Linked DNA regions of Nothobranchius furzeri. The main gene of each other region encodes a partner of the protein of the gene in region 2 in a complex. Links are inferred from orthologs where the notes say so. Each region holds a gene or a part of one and is shown on either strand. Other genes may lie near its edges.

Region 1 (9,499 bases), on a different chromosome or scaffold from region 2:
CGAACAGACCTCGTGCGCCAACCATCAAGTAGTTATGGAAAACATGAACAGCATGAACTCAGAGCAAATGTTCCAGAGTTCCACCTGTTTATGTAACATGTTTTCTAATCTAAAACTGGTCAGACATGCCATCTGTGAAAACAAAAACTCCCGGTGACCGTGAGTGCAAAAGTATGCATGCAAAAATAAACCATTTTAAAGAAGATGTGTTTTCTTAAAAAGTACCATAGCAACAAAACCGACTCTCACCGTTCCCGGTCTTGGATGAGGAACTTCTTTGTTGTAGCCCTTGAAAGATGAATTCTCAAAGACAGTCTCGATCGTTTCTATTGAGTAAACGCAAACCGCAGAAGAGTTCCTAAAGCAGAAATAAATACAACTGAGGTCAGCAGATGGTGAATACCATAGTGATTGCATTGTTTTAAGCTGGCATCGCTCCAAACTGGTCTGGTGAGGGCGTCTCAGTGTTGTGGTATGATGTTTTGGAAACTTGTGTAATAACTAAAACCCAAGACACTGCGATCTCTGGCGTTTTGATGCCCGTTTGTTCCCTTTGTTGTTCCTTAGTTTCTGACAACAAAACAAAACAAAGAAGAAAATGTTACAGAAAAGTGTTGTACCAGCTGCTTGAAAACAACGCGTAGACTTTGGTGTCACGCCAATCCTCAGCATGCATCACAAAGATGTCTTGGAGACGGTTAAAGTACAGCGACTCGTCTGGAAATCCACAGACAAGCCGAGCCTTGAGGAAAGAGGTCCAAGTATTCTGGAAGAATCTTTTTGATCCACCTTCATCCACCTGCATCATGACACAGAGACAAGGAACAGACTGACTAAGTTATTCTATACCACTAACATTGCAGCCACCTTCCCAAGTGAAGTTAAACACCAAACCCCTTTTAGGGCTAGTCATGTTTTCGAGAAGCTTTTGTAAACACTACCACAGTGGCATGAGAGGGATACCGCCTTATTGCAGAAGCATGATTTAATAAGTTTTTTAAATGTTCCTCATGGTGCACGGAAAGTATTAGCTGAATTTCGTCTTTGCATGTACAATTAACTGCCATGAAAATAACTTCCTGTTAGGGTATTATACTCTCCATGACGACAGTGTCAATATATCCATGTAAAGTGCACTTCTGCTTAAACTAGAAACAGTCCTTGCCCTTTACATTGTTCCTGTTAGAAACAGATAAAGGTCAGTTACCTGACAGGTAACCTACTGCTTATTTCAGATGGAAAAGGATGTTTTTCAATCTGTCATCAGCTACATGAAGATGTACACATCAGGGCTGCACGATATTAGAAAAACGTGATGCACGATAACAGTGATTAATATTGCAATGACAATATGACTTGCAATAAATAAACAACTACTTAACTCAAGAACAAAAAAACTAAATAAAAAAACAAAGAAAGAAATAAAAAAAATATTTTAAAACAACAACAAAAAACATAAAAATGGGAAAAACAAAAAATGTTATCAGAAGATGTGAGCAAAGAGAAAAAGAAAATGAACAAGAAAAGGCAAACAGTGAATCCAGGGAAAAGAAGAATCAGCAGAAAGAGCAGAACAATGCTAACTCAGGTGTTTGCCAGCCATCCAAATTAAGTGGTGTCCGCATAGGGGGTGGGCATCTAACCTATAAGAACGCACCCGATTGGCCAAATGGGTGAAGGGCTCTATTTGATTAGTCAAAAACGTCATGCTTCAAACGGAACACAATGTGTGATGCAGACATTTGAGCTGACCATTCATTATGTTTTTTCTGTTCTTTTTAATGTATTGTGCAGCCCGAGTACACACACACACACACACACACACACACATATATATATATATATATATATATATATATATATATATATATATATATATATATATATATATATATATATATTAGGTGTTTCTCAATGTCAAGGAACCTTGCCTTGATGTCTTGGCCCCGCCTCAGGTGGCTAGGAGATACGTCATCAGGAGCCGCCAAGACGTGTTCCAGTCGGTTCCAATGTTCAGGTTCTACCGAGGCGTGTGTTCTCTGTTTGTTAGCCGTTTAGCTAGCTGAGCGAGGATACACGGGAGGTGTCTTGTTGTCTAGCCTTGGTCAAAAATTACCCAGAATACACGCGGTATTTTCAAAAGGACGGTGGATCAGAAGCCGGCAGCTACTTTATGTTTATGTTTATGTTTATGTATTTAGCAGACCCTTTTGTCCAAAGCGACTTACTTTGGGGACAATTTTCAAGTTTAAAAGTAAGTCAACTAATTTTAAATGATTTATTTATTTTTTTTTTAGATCCAAAGAAGTTATCTATTGTTGGTTAGATGCTTATTAGTTGCAGCTTCGGTGGCTAGCGGGTAACTCACTTATATTTTTAATTTAATAAACATATACACAATTTAAAAAGTAAAAGGCTCGTTATATATTTATATTGAAACTAATACGTATAAAATATAACGTTGTCTCCCGTGTCACGTGATGTTACATGACCGCTGTGGAAGCCACGGTCACGTGATGCAAGTCTGTTCCATTTAACCGTTTTCTTTGACCAAGGAAGGACAGTGTCCTCGTAAGCAAGGCACCTGGCCTTGCAAGACATTGCCTCGCAAGGCAAGGCGCCTTGACATTGAGAAACACCCATTATCTTGTGTGTTGTACAGTTTTAAAGGTGTGGTTCACTTGTTTATTATTTGTAGTGGTATACAGTATGATTGAATGCCTTTCAATTCGTACTCAGGGGGAAAAAAGCTAAGATGCGCTTGTTTCAGAAACTTGCAGAATACCACACCAGAGAAGAGCTCAACATGGCAGGATCTATTTGGACATCTCGCCTGTGATTGGATAACAGCAACGACTCTGCCACTAACTCTGTTTTCTCTGCAACGTTGATGTTTATCTCCACAAATAACTCAACCCTGGAGGTGTTCTGTTGTGTGGTGGAATTGTTAATGCTAACAGTTAGCTTTTACTAGTTGAGATGTTCTGTTTCCTGGATGCTAAACCAACAACAGCCTTCCCTGTCATGAGTCAAGATGGGTGAGTCCATGAATGTTAAGTGACAGTGCGATGTTACACTGTCAGGCTTTTCAAATCCTTGTCAGGTATAGGGAACTGGACACAAAAGCAAGGCTGGGGAATGAGGAGGTAAAAGGCAAATGTCCTTTATTAAGACAGAGGTCAAAAAGGCAGGTAAATATTCCAACAAGCTAATTCAAGTTAGCAGGCAAAAAGAGCAGAAACGGTTGCACCAAAACCAAGTCAAACATACTGAGAGCAAACACTAATCACGGCTGGAACGAAGAGCTAGAAGACAACAACGAACTGGCAACTGAAAAGGAGAACAAAGAGAGATTAAATACAAGTGAACACAGCTAGGATTAATCTGGTTAACGAAGGACAGGAAATGACACAGAGGAGAGAGGAAAATGTCAAAGTAAAACAGGAAACAAAGAGCTGGACTCCTGGCAGGGTGTGACAATCCTAGAGTTTCATCTATTTTCTATCAGAAGCTAAAGCAGGAGATAGGTGTAGGAGACTATTTTCATGTTCAGCCTGTATGAAAAACTCAGAGAGACTTATAATCAGAAATAATAATTTAAAAAATGTATCTTTTTGTGTGTGGTTCACTCCTTTAAAAGTACAATTAAATGTTTTAATTTTAGGCTGCGCAGTGGTGCAGTGGTTAGAGCTGTTGCCTTGCAGCGAGAAGGTCCTGGGTTCGCTTCCCGGCCTGTGATCTTTCTGCATGGAGTTAGCGTGTTCTCCCTGTGCATGCGTGGGTTCTCTCTGGGTACTCTGGCTTCCTCCCACAGTCCAAAAACATGACTGTCAGGTTGATTGGTCTGTCTAAATTGTCCTTAGGTGTGTGTGTGTGTGTGTGTGTGTGTGTGTGTGTGTTTGTCCTGTGTGTCTCTGTGCGTCCCTGCGATGGACTGGCTCTCTGTCCAGGGTGTACCCCGCCTAATTGCCCGTTGACTGCTGGAGATGGGCACCAGCCCCCCGCGACCCTACGTGGACAAAGCAGCTTCAGAAGATGGATGGTTTTAATTTTATTATAAAACACATTTTCTTGCACTGAAATGCAAACTGATCTTCAGCAGAAGCTGGAAGCTTCTGATAAACATACATCATATATCATGTAAATATTAGATATTCATAAAATATCTATTGCACCAACATTCATGCAAATTTATTTTAGATTATTTAACTTATGGAATACCTTTATCTTCAGAAGTTTATTGGTTTCTATAGTGACACTCCATCCAGAGGTCCTGAATGGTTTAAAATAGTTCAAATTTGTCATTATTGTCTTCAAGGTGAACTATGATCAACCTAACTGAACATCTGTATGGAAAAAAAAATTTGGTAGAGTTTCAAAGCCTTGAGAAATCAACCCAAAGGCACCCTGAGGGGTTTTTGGCAGTACATCACCACCTTGCATAAATATTTTCTATGTGATTACAACCTAGCTGTACATTTTTGTCACTTATTTAATATTTGGGGTTTTCCCTTGTTTGACAGAAAATGAGCAAATTAAAAATAAATGTGTTTTTATGGGTGTGGGTCCAGTCGCCTGCACAATGGAGGTTCAGAATCTCCTGTGTTGAGCCCGTACCTTACACACTCTGGCCACTCTAGAAATCCAGGGATCAGCTTCTGGGCTGTGGTCGGAGTTCTTCTCACGAAAAAATATGTAGATTTTTTCATTATCAGGGTCATCCTCGCGCTTTACCCAGGATGCAGAGATGAATGTGGGCTCTGTGAAAAAGGACGTCATGTTTTAGCAACAGCACCAGAAGGCAGCTTGAGTGATGAGATGTTCAGATTCAATACAGTTAAAATTAAAAAATTAAAGTTGCTTGTTTCTACAACAAAAAGAAGCATGGGAGTGTGCTACTAAAATTAATTCGTTTGAGTGCTGCTGTATATACTTTACACTGCCAAATGAAACTGCTTCCCTTTAAAGTTGCCGCTGTAAACTGAAAATTGCCCGTCTGTGCAAACGCACGGTTTGCTGACAAAAAAAGCGTTGTGCCTGCACTTTCACTGACACGCAAGCAAATAGTTCAATTGGATCTAATTTCCTTCATTGAGCCGTTTTCCTTGAATTCCTGAAAATGTATTATTTCTGTTTACCTTTGGGTTGCTGAGAAACAAAGCTACGTGCCATCATTAAGCCAGATATGTAAATAATTTGGTTTGAAGGCACATCACAGATGTAATAACGGGTTAGGGCTCCTACACTAGAAACAACCTGCTGTAATTCTCACCTGAGACCCAGCTGTCATACATCCAAACGTTTGTTCTGCTGCCTGCTTTTCTCCTGAACTGTAGTGAGCTTCCCTCAACATCCAAAGGTGCTGCTGCATACAGGTCTCCATCTGCACAACAGCAAAGATCACTTCAAATACTTTACTTCAGTTTATGTCAGTTTTATTATAGTCCTGAGTCATATCTGATGCCTTAAACACATTTTAAACACGTAGAAATCTATATTTACCAACTGCGAGTGACAAGGAGTTTTGCGTGTAGACAAATGGGGAGATGCCGGTCCCCTCATAGCTCTCCACTATTTCATAAGACTGGTTACTTACAGAAGGGAACTATAAAGAACGACAGAAAATGAAACAGTCAACAGTCCAATATGATGTCCTGAGAGCTGCAGTGGAAAACACATAAACAAATGATGAGATACCAGATAGCCTACTTAATTATGTAGCAGGGAACTCAAATAAAGTTTCCTTAGAACCCCTTAAATCAGCTTGGCCCTGCTGCCACAGTTGGGTTTATATTCAAGATGCATTCATCACTCACAAGCTCCCAGCACTTTGGATTGAGTCCATTTGTTCCACAGACAAAAACGCTGTCCTGAAACTTCTCGATTACGGTGATTTCATTTGTACAAGAGCCCTAAAAAAGACATTTGTCATTACAGAAAGGCAAAAAGTCACTTGTAAGTCGCTTTGGACAAAAGCGTCAGCTACATACATAAACATAAACATAAACATAAAAAGTCACATTTTGTAAATCTGCTGCTACTTACTTCATGACATTCATGCTGCTCTGTGGTCTTCAGTGGATATTCCTGTCAGAGAACAAATTTGTTCCTCTAATTAACCAATCATACAATAAAAAGCACCAAATGGACCCTATTTATGAAATCATCATCATCATGGATCGTAGATATAAGAAGATTTTGAGCAGTTTTAGATTTTCTGGATCTGATTTCCAATCAGTTGGTTATCTTAAGAATTCAGCATTTTACAGTTAGAAAAAGTAATCAGATTTATTATGATGACCTGTTTAAAATGTTCCTGTTTTTTTAACTAATCTGCCATGAATAGATCTGTGCCAGCCATCTGTTACTTTGCTGTCTAATTACCACAAAATGCACCCAGTCTGGAGAAGAATTAAACTGAGAAGACGTGGAATAAGCAAACACAGCAGCAGGTGCCAAAGCGGAGCTCAGGACTTACCTCTAAGATGTGAAATTCGTTCACATCCAGTTTTAAAACAAAGTCAGTCCCACCAACATACAGTTCGTCTGAATCCTCCTGATATGAGAAGACGCTGTGGTTCTGATATGCGTCATACACATGTCCACCTTTGGTTAAACCTAAAAATAAAACAAGTAAATATAGCGTTGAGTCTCACCGAAACAGAATGATAGGAGCTCACCCACCTGTGATCAGGAGTCTAGGGCTTTTAGGCGAGCCGAGAGTCGGTGTTTCCTGTAAGTCTTTATTCTGAACAAGATGAAACTCGCCGAGCAGCAGGAGAGGAAAATAATAGAGTCGGTTCATAATTATTGCGCGCGAGAGAGCGGACAGTTCCGCTATCCTGTTAGGAGAACTGAGGCATCGCCTGTCTGCGATTATTGCATTATAGACCGGAGCAGTCACTCCTCTTCCTCCATCTCTGTCACGGTGTCACCACTGCGTTCGCAGGACGTAAACAAATGAAAAAGGCCAGATTTGCCTGCAGAGCCGCACAAGACCAAGTACACCATCAGTGCACACTAACGGAGAGGCGCACTTGTTTCGTCGGTGCCGCCCCTTGTGGTCACATTTGGAGCCCCAGGGAAGCCCCATAAATCATATTCACGTTAACACGAACCATGTATTATTTTTCCACACATTTAAAAACCCAATAGAGACATGCCACAATTTGTCACTAATTAAAAAAACTTTATTCTCACTACCAACCCCCCACGCAGCACCTCCCTTGCTCCCCCCTCTCACTTAGATCTGACCGGGTAAAATTTACTTACCTATAGATTGAGACACCCAAGATACAAAACTGAATGCCACCATAGATCATTCATTCATTCAACATGTAAGAACACAATTTTATATTTTCAGGATAACGGTTCCAGATATTTATACCTTTGACAGATATACAGTGATTTTTAATCATGAGTCTTTGGCCTTTCAATTCAATTCAATTTTATTTTATTTATATAGCGCCAAATCACGACAAGAGTAATCTCAAGGCACTTCACATAATAAACTTTCCAATTCAGGTCAGTTCATTAAGCCAATCAGAAAAAAAGTTTCCTATAAGGAACCCAGCAAATTGCATCAAGTCCACTGACGAGTGTCAGTGACTTTACAGCAATCCTCATACTAAGCAAGCATATAGCGACAGTGGAGAGAAAAACTCCCGTTTAACAGGAAGAAACCTCCAGAGGATCCTGGCTCAGTATAAGCAGCCATCCTCCACGACTCACTGGAGATCGAGAAAACAGAGCACACTCACACACACACACACACACACACACACACACACACACACACACACACACACACACACACACGTACGAGCACGCACACACACACACACATGCACGTACGCGCACGCACACACACACACACACACTATTATTTTGAATAATAAAGAACCTCTTTTGTCTGTTCATACTGTGTTTTTGTCTGTAATCCATATTTTTGTTATTTTCTTACACAGTTCAGTAAAAATTATTTATTTACCTCACGTGCAATATAAATAAATAATTTTTACTAAATTGTGTAAGAAAAGAACAAAAAAAATAATAAAGAACCTCTCCACGGTTTAACTGCTTCTGTCACTATCCTGTCACATTCTAACATCAAAGCTATATTTAATACTTGTGAAATACCTGGATGAATATTTTTATGTCTGTATCTTTATGCTGTTTCTTTGTGGAGAGTCGATTTTCTATTTTTACTCTATTCTTATTCTTTTTTGTTTGAGTGCTGAATGCTGGTATCCGATTAGCAGAGAGAAAGTTAAAAACATCTGGCAAGTTTCAGAAGGAGAAAGTAGGAGAAGCATGCAAAATCAGTAGTCAGATTGTGAGTTTTTTCTGGAGTAAAATAACCTAGAAGAGAGTCCAGATTACACCCAAAAGCAAAACAAAACCAGCACACCAAAGTACCAGGGCATCCTTCCACGGCACCATTTTGGTCAGTTATTCCCATAAGTACAGGATCAGCAAAGAAGTGGTCATGGCTAAACACCAGTACCTTGTCAACATTCAGCAGCAAATCTCTGAAAACAACTTGACCTCTGTGTGGAAAGTTTCAGCAACATTATGAACTACAAGCCCGAAAGCCCCGCCGCCACTAATCTGCCTAAACAACTTACTTCTATGGTCGGTTTGATGAACCATCATAGTGCAAGAGGTTCTGATCCATTCGGACCGGAACCTCTTGCCACAAAAGCGGTTTCTTCCCCTCCGCAGTTGGTCTCATGAATGACAATTCTAGGGCTGCCCACTCCAGTCGCTTTGTTTCAGTCACATGACCATGTAATGTGTTTGTACCTGAAGCCGTTTCTTTAACTATTGCCACTTCATATAATTATTTAATCATAATTATATTCTTACTTCCTTTATCTGCTTATCTCTTATTTTTTATCTTTCTTTTTTGCACCAATTACCGCACGGGCACAGCAGCATATTCCTAATGTTGTGATTTCTCGCATATATGGCAAAGAAACCCTTCTGATTTGATTAGGTTTAGTTGCAAAGGCAGAGAGTTTAAATGTGGTCAGACATGTGGATGAGTGACGTCAGAGAGCTGCAGAGAGATGCAGTACATGCCTGTTTTTCTGATGGTCTCAGAAATGAATAAGTATGTACAGGAATATGTCCCAAGAGTCAACACGTCTTGGCCTGCAACACAGAAAAAGCTTACATTGTGAATATCACTTCCTCGTCGGAGTTTATTTTGCTGCAGCCTATATTCAGCAATTTGTGCATCTAAATATATCATTGCACCCCAGGCCACTTTCCTGCTTTTGTGGACAGATTTTGAAACAAGGGTAGACTACATTGTTGTATTTTGCAAGGGCCAGGGAGTCATCTCATACTGCCAGTCCACCACATGCATGAACCATTAAAGGAAAAATAACTTGGGAGAAAGCCTATAGCACAGTAAACATAAGAAAACCCTCTTGCAATGAAATACTATCCCCAAACTCATAGTCATTATATGAAGAGATAATGTCGACAGGAC
Region 2 (11,180 bases):
AGATCATCCAGCTGTAACCTGTTTCTGATCACGTCTTTAGTCCCGCTGTAACACTGATGCATCAGTCTCAAACGACATGGAGCTCAGGTCTTATTAGAACTACCTGTGTGTGTTTACCACCCAGCTTCAGCTCTTCTGTGGTTGGGTCTGACCCAAGTTAGTAAATGTAAGTCCTCCATCAGGCTTGTGCCTCTTCTAGTGTCATTTTAAAGGATTTTATTTATTTATTTAACCGTTACTAGATTACCAGCAACAGAAATGCTAGTAAAAACACACAATTATGTGAAGCTGGAAAAATTAGAATACTGTGCAAAATTACATTTATTTCTGTAATTTAACTAGACTGAGATTTAAAGGCTCGGGAACCTTTACAGGTGTTTCTATTTGCAATTTTAAATTTTAGCTGATTGGTTTTTTGTTAAATATCACACAGTGACCTTTTAATAGTCTAGATTAGTGTAATGTTCCTATTAGTAGTTCCTCCTGTTAAGTGCGTATTTGTTTAAATTATTCAGGTTTATATAAAACATTTGGACATACATTTTATTATGTTCAGTCATTAGTCATTAATATTTTACTATTGTAGTAATTCTTGCATTCTTTAATGAAAAAAGTAACTAAGTAGTTACTTTTGTTGGTAATTAGTTACTTTTATGATCTTGTAACTCAGTTAGTAACTGAGTTACTTTTTTGACAAAGTAATCAGTAACTATAACTAATTACTTTTTTAAAGTAACGTTCCCAACACTGGGAGTAACTGATGCAATAAAATACAATAACTTCATACTTTCTCAAATCCATCTAGAGCTCAAGTCATTTAATTTGATCGTGTTTGCCTTTTAAAATAAAGAATAAATATGTAGGAACATTATCACATTTCAGCCAACTACAATTTGAAGGTCTAGTTAATTTGGTAGCTGCTTTGCAGGAAGAAGGTCTCCAGTTCGAATCCCACCTGCCTTTCTGAAATGTTCCCCCCATGGATGTGATTTTCTCCAGATATCTGGTTTCCTCCTACAGAGTGAGGGTGTGGCTGATGTGTGTCTGTGGCTGGTCCCTTCTGGATGGTTATTGAATTTAAAAAGATACATAAACACTAAAAGCATGCAGTGATTTTTTTAAAAACTGTTAGCTGATCATTCTTCGAATGTCCAGCCACATGACCTGCATTAAAATGGCACACGTTAGCTTTAGCTAAAACACTCCGTTAGTAAACGTTGACCTGTGTGTTGATTAAGACTATTTTAAATAATTAAGGTAGTAATAAATTATTCAGCGACTGTTGTCTGATGCCAGATCTACTCATAATTGTCAGGTTTCTCAGTCAGAACCAAAGATCCTGAAACCAAAGGCTGTGCTTTTCAAGAAGGACTACATGACTTCTGTGTTGGCAGAGAGGAAGATGGGCTGGATGGTTTTCTTCATTGGGACATCAGATGGACAGCTCCTCAGGGTGAGTAGAGACGTTACAAGTGTCACACACCGGGGACCGGAGAGGTGGCTGTGTTCTCTGAGCTTCACAAACATTGTTGTGTCACATCTAGCACATTTCCTGATCACGACTGGCAAAACAGGGGAAGTGACAAAATCCTTTCAAAAACCTTTTGTGGTGTTTTTCATTTGTTTCTGGTGTGTGAGCTCATTATTGTCAGAGGAAAGAAGCAGGGCTCTGCTGAACATCCCATAATGAGTAGTGAGTAAACAGGCTGAGGTGAGTAGATGCCATCAGCACCGATTGTGTTGCTTCTATAAAACCGTCACACCTTTAATAAATACAAATGGACTGATGGATTTAATTGAGGACGTGTAAAAACTGAAGCTTTTGTGACAAGAAACAAATAAAAGACTTTGAAAGCAGTAAAGTCATTTTTCTTTTGTCTAATTAAACATTTAAATGTGCACCAACACTGAGCCTCTAGATCGGGGGTGTCAAAGATGTGGCCCGCGGGCCGGATCCGGCCCGCAAGCGGGTTAAATCCGGCCCGCGAGATGGTTGTGTGAACTTTGTTTTCATACTTTACAATGTAGAGTGAAAATAAACTTATCTTTATGAGCAAGTTTTCTCTGTAATGAGTATAAATAAAACAAAGCTGTGCTCAAGGCTCACACAAGAGCGTGAATCACATCCTGAAGTTGGCCGCCACTCAGGATGTGACTTCTGATATTGATGTGCTGGTGAAAGCTAAAAGATGTAAAGTAAAATGAGTCAAATATATTTTAAGTGCTGCATGAAACTGATCTAGCCATGTAATCTGAAAGCTCTTTGAATCACTAAGGAATGTTTTTTTTATTGATTGATTTTTTTAATTTTTTCAAAATTTCAAGTACACTTCAGGTGTTGTACTTGTACTATTTTGGATACACTGTCCTCAGGCTCCAGCCTTGTTTTATATTGATTGTATTAAAACAAAGAAAACAATCTGAAGCTGTTTTTAATTTACCGGTCCGGCCAACTTGGGACCAGATTTCCCTCAATGTGGCCCCTGAGCTAAAATGAGTTTGACACCCCTGCTCTAGATGTATTCACAATAACAACCTGTTGTCAGCTCTCTGTGGACAGGAACCTCCGCCCCACCTGTCCAAAGGTGCTCTACAGGGCCAGTGGGGACGTAAAGCTGTTACCCCAAATCTACCTGGATCCAGTGGATCACGAACATGTTTATGTTTCTGTTAAAAACCAGGTATTTGGATACTTTGCCCTTATCTTCATGTCACCTGTAACTACAGTGTTTAACTACTAAACCTTTGTGTTTGGTTGCAGGTTAACCGTGTACCAGTGTCAGAGTGCAACACACACACAGATAAGAAGGCATGCTGGTCTGCTCAGGATCCATACTGTGTGTGGTGTGTTGATGAGAAAAGGTCAGGACATCCTCAGCTGTGGTCAACGTCTCCAGGATGTTCTGAACTTGGTAATAATGTTTGACTTTGTTTCAGATGCACTCGTGAAGATGAATGTAAAGGTTCAGACTGGTTGTCCATCCCTGATGAATCCCAGAAGAAGATGATTTCCCACCGAGTTGTGGAGGATCCTAAAGGGCAGGTGAGATTTTAACAGGTTAGTGAATGGATTCATTTAGAACCAGATGATTTCAGCTGATGTTTTTCCTTTCATCAGATCAAAGTGACCATCCAGGCTCACCTGACTGTGAAAGCAGAGATGCGCTCTAACTTTTCCTGTCAGTTCTCCACAACCTCTGGTCAGCTTTGTATGCAGTCTGGCTCTAAACCGCATTACCCACAATGCACCTGCATTCTCTCTACTCATCGTGTGGATGGTTAGTGGGTTCAGTTTGGAGCAGGACAAACATTCATTGTTCACTGATTTGCAGCAACTTTATCTACAATAATACCAGAATTTAAATGATGGAAAAGAATAATGTCTCTTTGTTGCAATGATTTATATAAAGCTGCATGAAAAAAAATCACCAATAAACGAGGAGATTATTTTTACTAAAATAGCCTGGATTATGTTTCATTTGCAGGTGTTGATGTCACTGTAAGGATCAGAGTTGGTGCAGCGCAGCTGACGGAGAAACTACATCTGATCAACTGTTCTAACATCCAGGGAGAACCAAGTGATTTATTGTGAGTTCTGCTGTGTTTTAAAATCATGTAAAAGTGTTCAAATGTACAGAAAAAGAAAAATATCCATATCCAAAAGTCCACTGATTAATAAGCATGTTTGTCAAAACTGCCCAACCTGAAATAAAATAAGATGCTGCAAATAATGTGAGGAGAAATTTTCCTTTTGTGGCAAAAATGATCAGATGAAGAACAAAAATCGTACAGAAGATGTTAAATCTGAAATATTCACAGTCTTTATGACTGGAAATAATTTAATTCTCTTTTGGGCAAAAGTTGAGGATTCATCCTTTAGACCATCTTTCATCCACTGGGTGGTATTTTATGCTGTAGTTTTGTAAATGATGAGTGTGTTTGTGTTTAACTGAGTCTGATGAGCTGCATGGGACCGTTTCCTGTTCAGGTGTCAGCGGTGCATCACAGCTGGGTGTGGATGGAGAGACAACAGCTGTTCCTGGGCCAGTCCACAAGTGCAAAGTGTAAGAGTGATTTTTTTCATGCTTTTATAAATATTCCCATTTGTTATTTTTGTACATTTTAATTCTCAAATATTTAATTACATTTCTACTTTTCTGCTACAGGACAGCATTTGCACCAACATTACGTCTGATGTGAAGTTTTCTGTAAGTCTGAATTTCAGTTCTCTCTCTGATGTTTCCCTTAAACTCGTTCATTCTAACATCATTAGTGACTTTTGTATTAAAGCTGGTTACTTTGTGTGTTTTCTGTCAGAAGCCAGAGATCTCCTCCATCACTCCCAGTAACGTGTCTTTCTACGGCAAAAACCACGCTGTTCTGTCAGGTCGTGACCTCCAGGATGTAATCGGAGTGAAGATCCTGAAGGACTTGAGCTGCAGTCCACAGGAGTGAGGATCTACATGAACTAGCTCTAGACTTTTCAGTAGCTTTTTATGTGAAAGGCTTTCTGGTAACACCATTCTGGGACTTGTAGTTTTAGATGTTTTAGTGTTTTATATCTATAGACCCTTTCCTCCTGACCAACTGCACTTCAAACGTTTCTTCTGTGGAGGACATTTGTCAAATGGAATATCTATTTCTTTCATTTAAATGAAGTAACTCATTTAGAGCTTTAAAGACTTCCTGGAGTGTTTGAACGACACCAAGGGGTTGAGGTTGGGTTTGGGGAATTTCATTTTTCTTTTTTAAAAAAAAGGCATCCATTACTGCAAGAACATTTGATAACTAGAGGAAAATAAAGTCCATTCTAATATTTATTTGACCTGAAATGTTAGTGGTATTAGAAACTCTTAAAGAATACTCAGCCTTGAGTTCGACCTGTCTGGCACAACCTACACCTCTGATATTTAACAAATTGAACACGCCACACTTTCACCAAATAAATCATTCAGATTGTTTTGATTTTTAGGATAAACAATTGTTTTTTTTTTATTTGTACTTTTTCTAATCAGATTGCACAATTTTTTATACCACTCACCCGCTCTCCTCATCCACCAAATAGATTAAATTACAACGTACTTTGACAGAATAAAACTTTATGATATTAGTGTATATGGATGGATGGATGGGTGGGTGGATGGATGGATGGATGGATGGATGGATGGATGGATGGATGGGTGGGTGGGTGGGTGGGTGTGTGGGGATAGATGGATAGGTAGTTAGATAGATAGATAGATAGATAGATAGATAGATATATAGATAGATAGATAGATAGATAGATAGATAGATAGATAGATAGATAGATAGATAGATAGATAGATAGATAGATAGATAGATAGATAGATAGATAGATAGATAGATAGATAGATAGATAGATAGATAGATGGTGGGTGGGAAGATGGGGATAGATGGATAGATAGATAGATAGATAGATAGATAGATAGATAGATAGATAGATAGATAGATAGATGATAGATAGATAGATAGATAGATAGATAGATAGATAGATAGATAGATAGATAGATAGATAGATAGATAGATAGATAGATAGATAGATAGATAGATAGATAGATAGATAGATAGATAGATAGATAGATAGATAGATAGATAGATAGATAGATATTTTTGCAGGATTTATTATACCCGGATATTTATTGTATCCAGTTTAACGGTTTCCTCTCTGTGTTTTCCTGTGCTCTCTGGTCAGATCACCTGTGTGGAACAAAACTGGTGTAAATCTTACGTTCCACATTCCCAGTACAAATGCCAAAGGAGCGGTGAAAGTGTGTGTTCTTCTCCCTGATGGTAGTTGCCATGGTAATGCTGAAATCATCTATCAGTCAGCACCAATCTGCAGTGGTATTGTGCCAAGCAGCTCCTGGATCAGGTGAGTTTTTGTTCTAGTTTTATATGTTTCTATGGAGAACCAGTGAGATATCATTCAATTCAAACAGGTTTTATGGATTTTAAAGGTCATGGTCTAGGTCAACTGTGTAAATGGGCAGGCTCAGGCACCATGCCGGGCCAGAGTCAGACCCACGGCAGGTGTGGAGAAAATGCTGTAAACAAATAATGCTTTCAGAAATATAAATAATGATTACAGCCAAAGTAACAGCCTAATTTCTTCCTGTTAGTACATTGGTTATTACAAAAAATACCCAATTATAAAATATATTAAGAAAGACAAGTTTCAGTATGATCTCGCATCCTGAACACGTATCAGGCAACAACAGAGAAAAATATTTATAAAATAATAAAACCTTTTGAGCCAGAATCAGGACGGCTGGTAATCTGCCTAGACTGGGTGGGACTGGGAGGACAACAAAGACCTGGGGGGGTTGCACAAATAATCGGCTGGAAATTCCTATTTGAGTTTTAAGACTTTAGTTTTCGTTATTTCTTGTTTGAAAAATTGAAATGTGCTTACTTAATTCAGTGTAGTCACTTATAAACACTTGTTCAATGCCTGAGGAGACTATGGTGGCTGTTAGCTGGTGACTTAGAGGGACAACAGTTGGGAATGGGTGTCATGTCCTCTCCTCACACCTGTTCTGTGTTCCACAGCGGCAAAAGGAAGGTCACGCTTCATGGAACCAACCTGCATTTTGTGGACGGTATCACACATGACCACATGCATAATCATGCTATACTTCCCAGGACCAGCAGCTATCAGGTAGATCTGCAGCCAGCAGGTTCATCTGATGGTTAGCATGCTAACAGTTGGACCACATGTTGTTTAATCCTACTCCTTTATTTCACTCAAAGACATCATTGTACTAAAAGGTTTCTTGTAGATGACTTTTTATAGCCACCTGTTTAAATACATGGAGTTTGTGTCCAGCATGATCGATGAGCTAACAGCTAGTACAAGTGCAGCAACAACTATTTGCAAAATGTGTTTGTCCCATCTTAAGAGTTCTTTAAAATTTAACTGAGGTTCCTGTAAAGACTGTTTATATACACTTGATACTGTCATTAGTTTCACATCACGGTATTATACGGCAGAAATATGAAATCCCTGCAGCACTTGACCCCTGGACACTCTGAAATTGTTAAAGTTTGCTGATGGTGGTGATATTTACAGAACACATTAAAAAATGGAATCAAGAAATTTCAGTGGAAATAACACTGTAATGCAAAGCAGACGATGTAACAGTTACAAAAGTAAACCCTTGGGAGATTAAAGCTGTTTTAAAACAGCAGCTTTTCACTTTGGTCTTGACTAAGCTCGAACTAGCCGTTAGCTCCTCAGTCCTGAATGACACACATTCTATTTCACTGAAAAGAGGTTATTAGGAAAGCCATCTGCACTGGATTCTGGTAGTATTCATAAATCTGCATTAAAACACGACAAAAAAGCAGAAAATAACTTTTTTAAGCTGCAGCTGATATAAGCTCAGTTTAAAATTCTGTCTCATAATGAATACCTTTCTGCAGAATCTCACCTATGAAACACCTGCAGCTGAAAAAACTCAGAAGAGCTTCGTGTCTATGAGAGTAGCCAATGAGACCTTGTCCTGCACTCAAATAACCTACTACAAAGACCCGGAGTTCACCAGTTTCAGCGCTGTGAGGGAAGGAAAAGATGTTCGCATAGTGATTCAAGTAAGGCTTAGTTTTTCTTGTCGTCATGGATGAAATCAGCTTATAAAAGATAACTCTTTGTTGTCCTTCCAGAAAAAGGCTGATGAATTGAACATGTCAACGGCAGAGTTGTCAGTTTGGGGAATTCGGGAAGAGGAGATGCATTTCTGCAGCATAGAAGGCAAAGAAAGCAGCAGCGAGATTGACTCAATCAGCTGTGAGATCAAAGGAATTCAGGAGGTTAAATTTAACCAGTTAGAGGTAAAATCTAAAGTCTTAGAGTCATATTATTGAACATTATACATGCATAATGGTGCCTCAAGGAAGGATAAAATAAAGGAACTGAGGAAATTAGAGTTGAACACCATCATTCCTTCGTAAATCTCTAACATGCACACCTAAAACATCTGGAATTTATACTGGTTTATTATTTCAGTTTGTCAGTAAAGCCTGGTTTTCTCTCTCTTGTAGCCAGAAAACTGAATTTAGGATTCAACAAAACCCCGTGTTTTCTATAGTTTTACTCCGTTAACCACACCCAGAACTCTTAGTTCAAAAAGAACAAAACCAGCATAGTCATGCTCGGGCTCACTTCCCCTTGCTAATTTTAAAACTGTTTACTTTTCTCCATCACTTTCAGCACTCCCCCCTCAGTGTTTTCTTCATGGTGGCACTGTTGTACACTGATGTGGCAGTGTGAGCGTCCTGTCACAGTGTCCCTATTGATCATGCGCCCTGGCTACTTAGCCAAGGGGATGTCCCTTTGGTTGACTGGTTAGCGTGCATGACTCTCCCCCGGGAGTCTGGGGATCGAATCCCGCCCGGGCCCTCGCTTCTCCACCATGATACACTACGTACACGGTTAGGGGCATTCAGAATAGACCGATGTACTTGAAAGGTGTGAATATAAATAAAGGAGTTACTTTCCTTTTCATGCAAATAGTAAGATCCAAAAGTGTGCTGTTGTTCAAGGTACCACGGGTCCTTCCAGGTTCTGGTACTGACCGTGTGTGTTCCAGAATCATCAGCTCAGTTCCTTTCAGAGGGAAATTAAACTCCACACAAACCTAAACTGTTTCCATGCTCTTCTGTTTCAGATCAGATATGGAGACAAGTCCATAAAACTCAGTAATTCCTCGTCAAATCTCATTTTCATGTTGTTTGCCCTTCTGCTGATACCCGTTATTGTTGCTGGTGAGTAAAGCTGAGTGACTACAGCTTGTTTTTGGATCTCTACCAGCATCGCACACACAAACTGGAGGGTTGGGTTTGGACCTTTTCTCTTTCTGTCTGTCCAGTGGTGGTGGTAGTCTACCAGAGCAAGCAGAAGAAGCTCACTGCAAAGATGAACAGGTTAATAGAGGACCTGGAGCTAGATATCAGAAAAGACATCAGACAAGGTCAGTCACTTCTCTGACAGTAAAAGAAGAAATCTGAGCACAAAGTCCTGATTTTAGTTTTCTTATAAAAGACTGGATGTTTCGAGGTTTCTCACCGTGTTAAACGGTAGTTTAGACACATCTAACTGCAGAGAAACCATTTAGTTGGTGACACGTGAAACCTTCTTACACTGAAATAAGTGAAACATCTGTGTAATTCAGTTTAATTGAAAATTCACATTGTTTTAATTCAGAAATTGTAATTTCTTGTTTAAACCTGTTTATTTCACTTTCCTAAAATTAAAAGTCACTCACTTTGAAAGAAACCAAGAAAAACAATTTGTCCCGAAGTAAATGTAGACTTCAAATCCATGATGATTGTGTCACATGATCACATGACGTCACTCAAACTGCTCGATCCTGTTGTTTGCGTCTGCCATTACCTCAAGAGGATCTGAAGAACTTCAGTATGTATTTATGACATCATATGTTGTTGGTGGCAGTAAAAAAGAGTGTTTCCTAATAAACTCTGTCTGTGTCATTTAGGACAAAATAGGTCCTGAAAAGCTAAATCTGATCTCCCACAGTGGCTCTTACACCTGCATAGTTCATTAGCAAACTCCACCCCTTTATTCTATAAGTTGCAGTAGCTGCAGGGGGCGAGGTGCATTGTGGGTTGTCATGTTTTTAGTTAGTTTGTTCTATTGTGGGGTGTTTATGCATGTTTATTTTGGGGTGATGTGTTATTTTTAGTTATTACTTTGTTCACTGTTGCAAATGTGATGTTACTTGTTGTGCCGTGCTGGCACCATAAGCGAGGAGGTTGGTGAAACGAATGGCACCGCTGTGCTGATCTCCTCTCATGGCAACAGAGGTGGTGCTGGGTCACACTAAATTTGCAGGATGTCACTGCTTGCATTTCTCTCTGGCGGGATTTTTCAAATTTAGAAGATGTATGAGGGCACTAGTGAGCCATTGTTGAACTTTCTGAAGTGTTGTTACTTTAATTGTGATTTAGTGGAGTTAAAATGTAGGAGTTAAAATATTAAGTAACTAAATATTCTGGTGCACTCTTTCTCACAGCTGCTGTGCTGCTGATTTGGAGACACACTCTCTTATTAGGAGCACTCTGCTAATGCTAGATTAGACACATTTTTATCTTTAGAGTCACTTCAAAGCTTAGTGCGAGAGAGAGAGAGAGAGAGAGAGAGAGAGAGAGAGAGAGAGAGAGAGAGAGAGAGAGAGAGAGAATCTGATGATGATCATTTAACTGAGGTTAATCAGGACCAGTTACCATATTGTGAAAGTGGTGACTGTAAAAGTAAGTCACGTAACACAAAATAAAACCGCCTATAAAGTTTCTATTAGTGAGGTCAGTACCGTGTTATTTTATGTGTTTTACTCCAGATGAATCAGAAATAGGGGAAACAATTTTTTAAAATCTTTATTTTAATTGGAAACATTTCCAATTCTTTTCAGATCTCCTTGTTAGGTCATTCTGTAAACTCTGCACAAACTGGTTTCATTTTCACTTCTTTTATTCATGTTTGAGTCAGAGAGAGCCATCCAGGTTCAGCTTTTGCATCCAGCAGGAGTTAGCTTTATTAGGAGGTTAGCTTAGATCATTGCGACTGCAGAGGCTGAAGGTCTGATCACCTCAATAAATGCAAGAGTCATTTTGCTTATTTTGTGAAATTGTCCAATAGCTCAGTCTAAAAATCTATTTAGATCAATAATTTCAATAATTGCTATAGTAGTTATTTTTACCATGCTGGCAGGATCTACCGGGATTTTACACAACCTGAGTATTATTGCTGACCATGTCCATCCCATTATGAGCACACGAACCCATCTTCTGATAGCTACTTCCAGCAGGATCATGCAGCATATCGCAAAGCTCAGATCATCTCAGACTGGTTTCTAGAACATGCCCATGTGTTCACGAGACTCCAGAGGCATAGACGCAGCAACAGTGCAATGTTGGCCATTTTAATTTCCTCTCTTTTTGTTTGATGGTCTTATTTTCACCAGAATCTTAACCCTCCCACTGTCCAAATGGGTGATCCCACGAGGAAACTTGACCATTGAGCAGGGTTGATGGTTTATCCCTTGAGGTCCACGTGGCTGGGGTGAGGTGGTGCTCAGGGGCGGATTTAGCAATTTGGGGGCCCAAGGCGAACACAGACATGGGGCCCCTTACACTAAATTTTCGAC

What was found. Proteins that work in one complex are often made in the same cells at the same time.
Region 1: the proteins of plxnc1 (region 2) and sema7a are in contact, whole or in part, in a crystal structure (PDB 3NVQ), measured with the Homo sapiens proteins. The link is inferred for Nothobranchius furzeri from reciprocal best matches to the Homo sapiens genes PLXNC1 and SEMA7A. Residues at the interface, in NP_005752.1 of Homo sapiens: Arg131, Thr151, Glu152, Val153, Asn195, Pro196, Ala197, Ala198, Ser199, Asp200, His201, Thr203, Ala206, Lys208, Arg213, Ser214, Leu215, Ala216, Thr217, Gln218, Glu219, Leu220, Arg222, Lys224, Glu272, Ala350, Ser352, His353; in NP_003603.1 of Homo sapiens: Gln194, Tyr196, Asn197, Gly198, Lys199, Arg202, Arg204, Tyr213, Ser215, Asp216, Thr217, Gln270, Gly271, Gly272, Glu273, Ser274, Ser275, Leu276, Val278, Ser279, Lys280, Pro372, Thr375, Glu376, Phe378, Gln379, Asp382, Arg383.

The regions. Positions count from the first base shown.
Region 1 is NC_091744.1:66,533,792-66,543,290, forward strand, and holds the start of sema7a (semaphorin-7A), read right to left. Parts: upstream 7,014-9,499; 5' UTR 6,806-7,013; coding exon 6,685-6,805; intron 6,619-6,684; coding exon 6,479-6,618; intron 6,088-6,478; coding exon 6,046-6,087; intron 5,913-6,045; coding exon 5,817-5,912; intron 5,606-5,816; coding exon 5,503-5,605; intron 5,384-5,502; coding exon 5,273-5,383; intron 4,761-5,272; coding exon 4,618-4,760; intron 800-4,617; coding exon 621-799; intron 359-620; coding exon 250-358; intron 1-249. UniProt on the Homo sapiens protein: Plays an important role in integrin-mediated signaling and functions both in regulating cell migration and immune responses.
Region 2 is NC_091741.1:61,442,659-61,453,838, reverse strand, and holds part of plxnc1 (plexin-C1), read left to right. Parts: intron 1-1,315; coding exon 1,316-1,453; intron 1,454-2,546; coding exon 2,547-2,681; intron 2,682-2,761; coding exon 2,762-2,862; intron 2,863-2,937; coding exon 2,938-3,043; intron 3,044-3,118; coding exon 3,119-3,278; intron 3,279-3,485; coding exon 3,486-3,588; intron 3,589-3,988; coding exon 3,989-4,064; intron 4,065-4,166; coding exon 4,167-4,208; intron 4,209-4,317; coding exon 4,318-4,451; intron 4,452-5,710; coding exon 5,711-5,890; intron 5,891-6,567; coding exon 6,568-6,676; intron 6,677-7,440; coding exon 7,441-7,608; intron 7,609-7,680; coding exon 7,681-7,848; intron 7,849-8,684; coding exon 8,685-8,781; intron 8,782-8,885; coding exon 8,886-8,987; intron 8,988-11,180.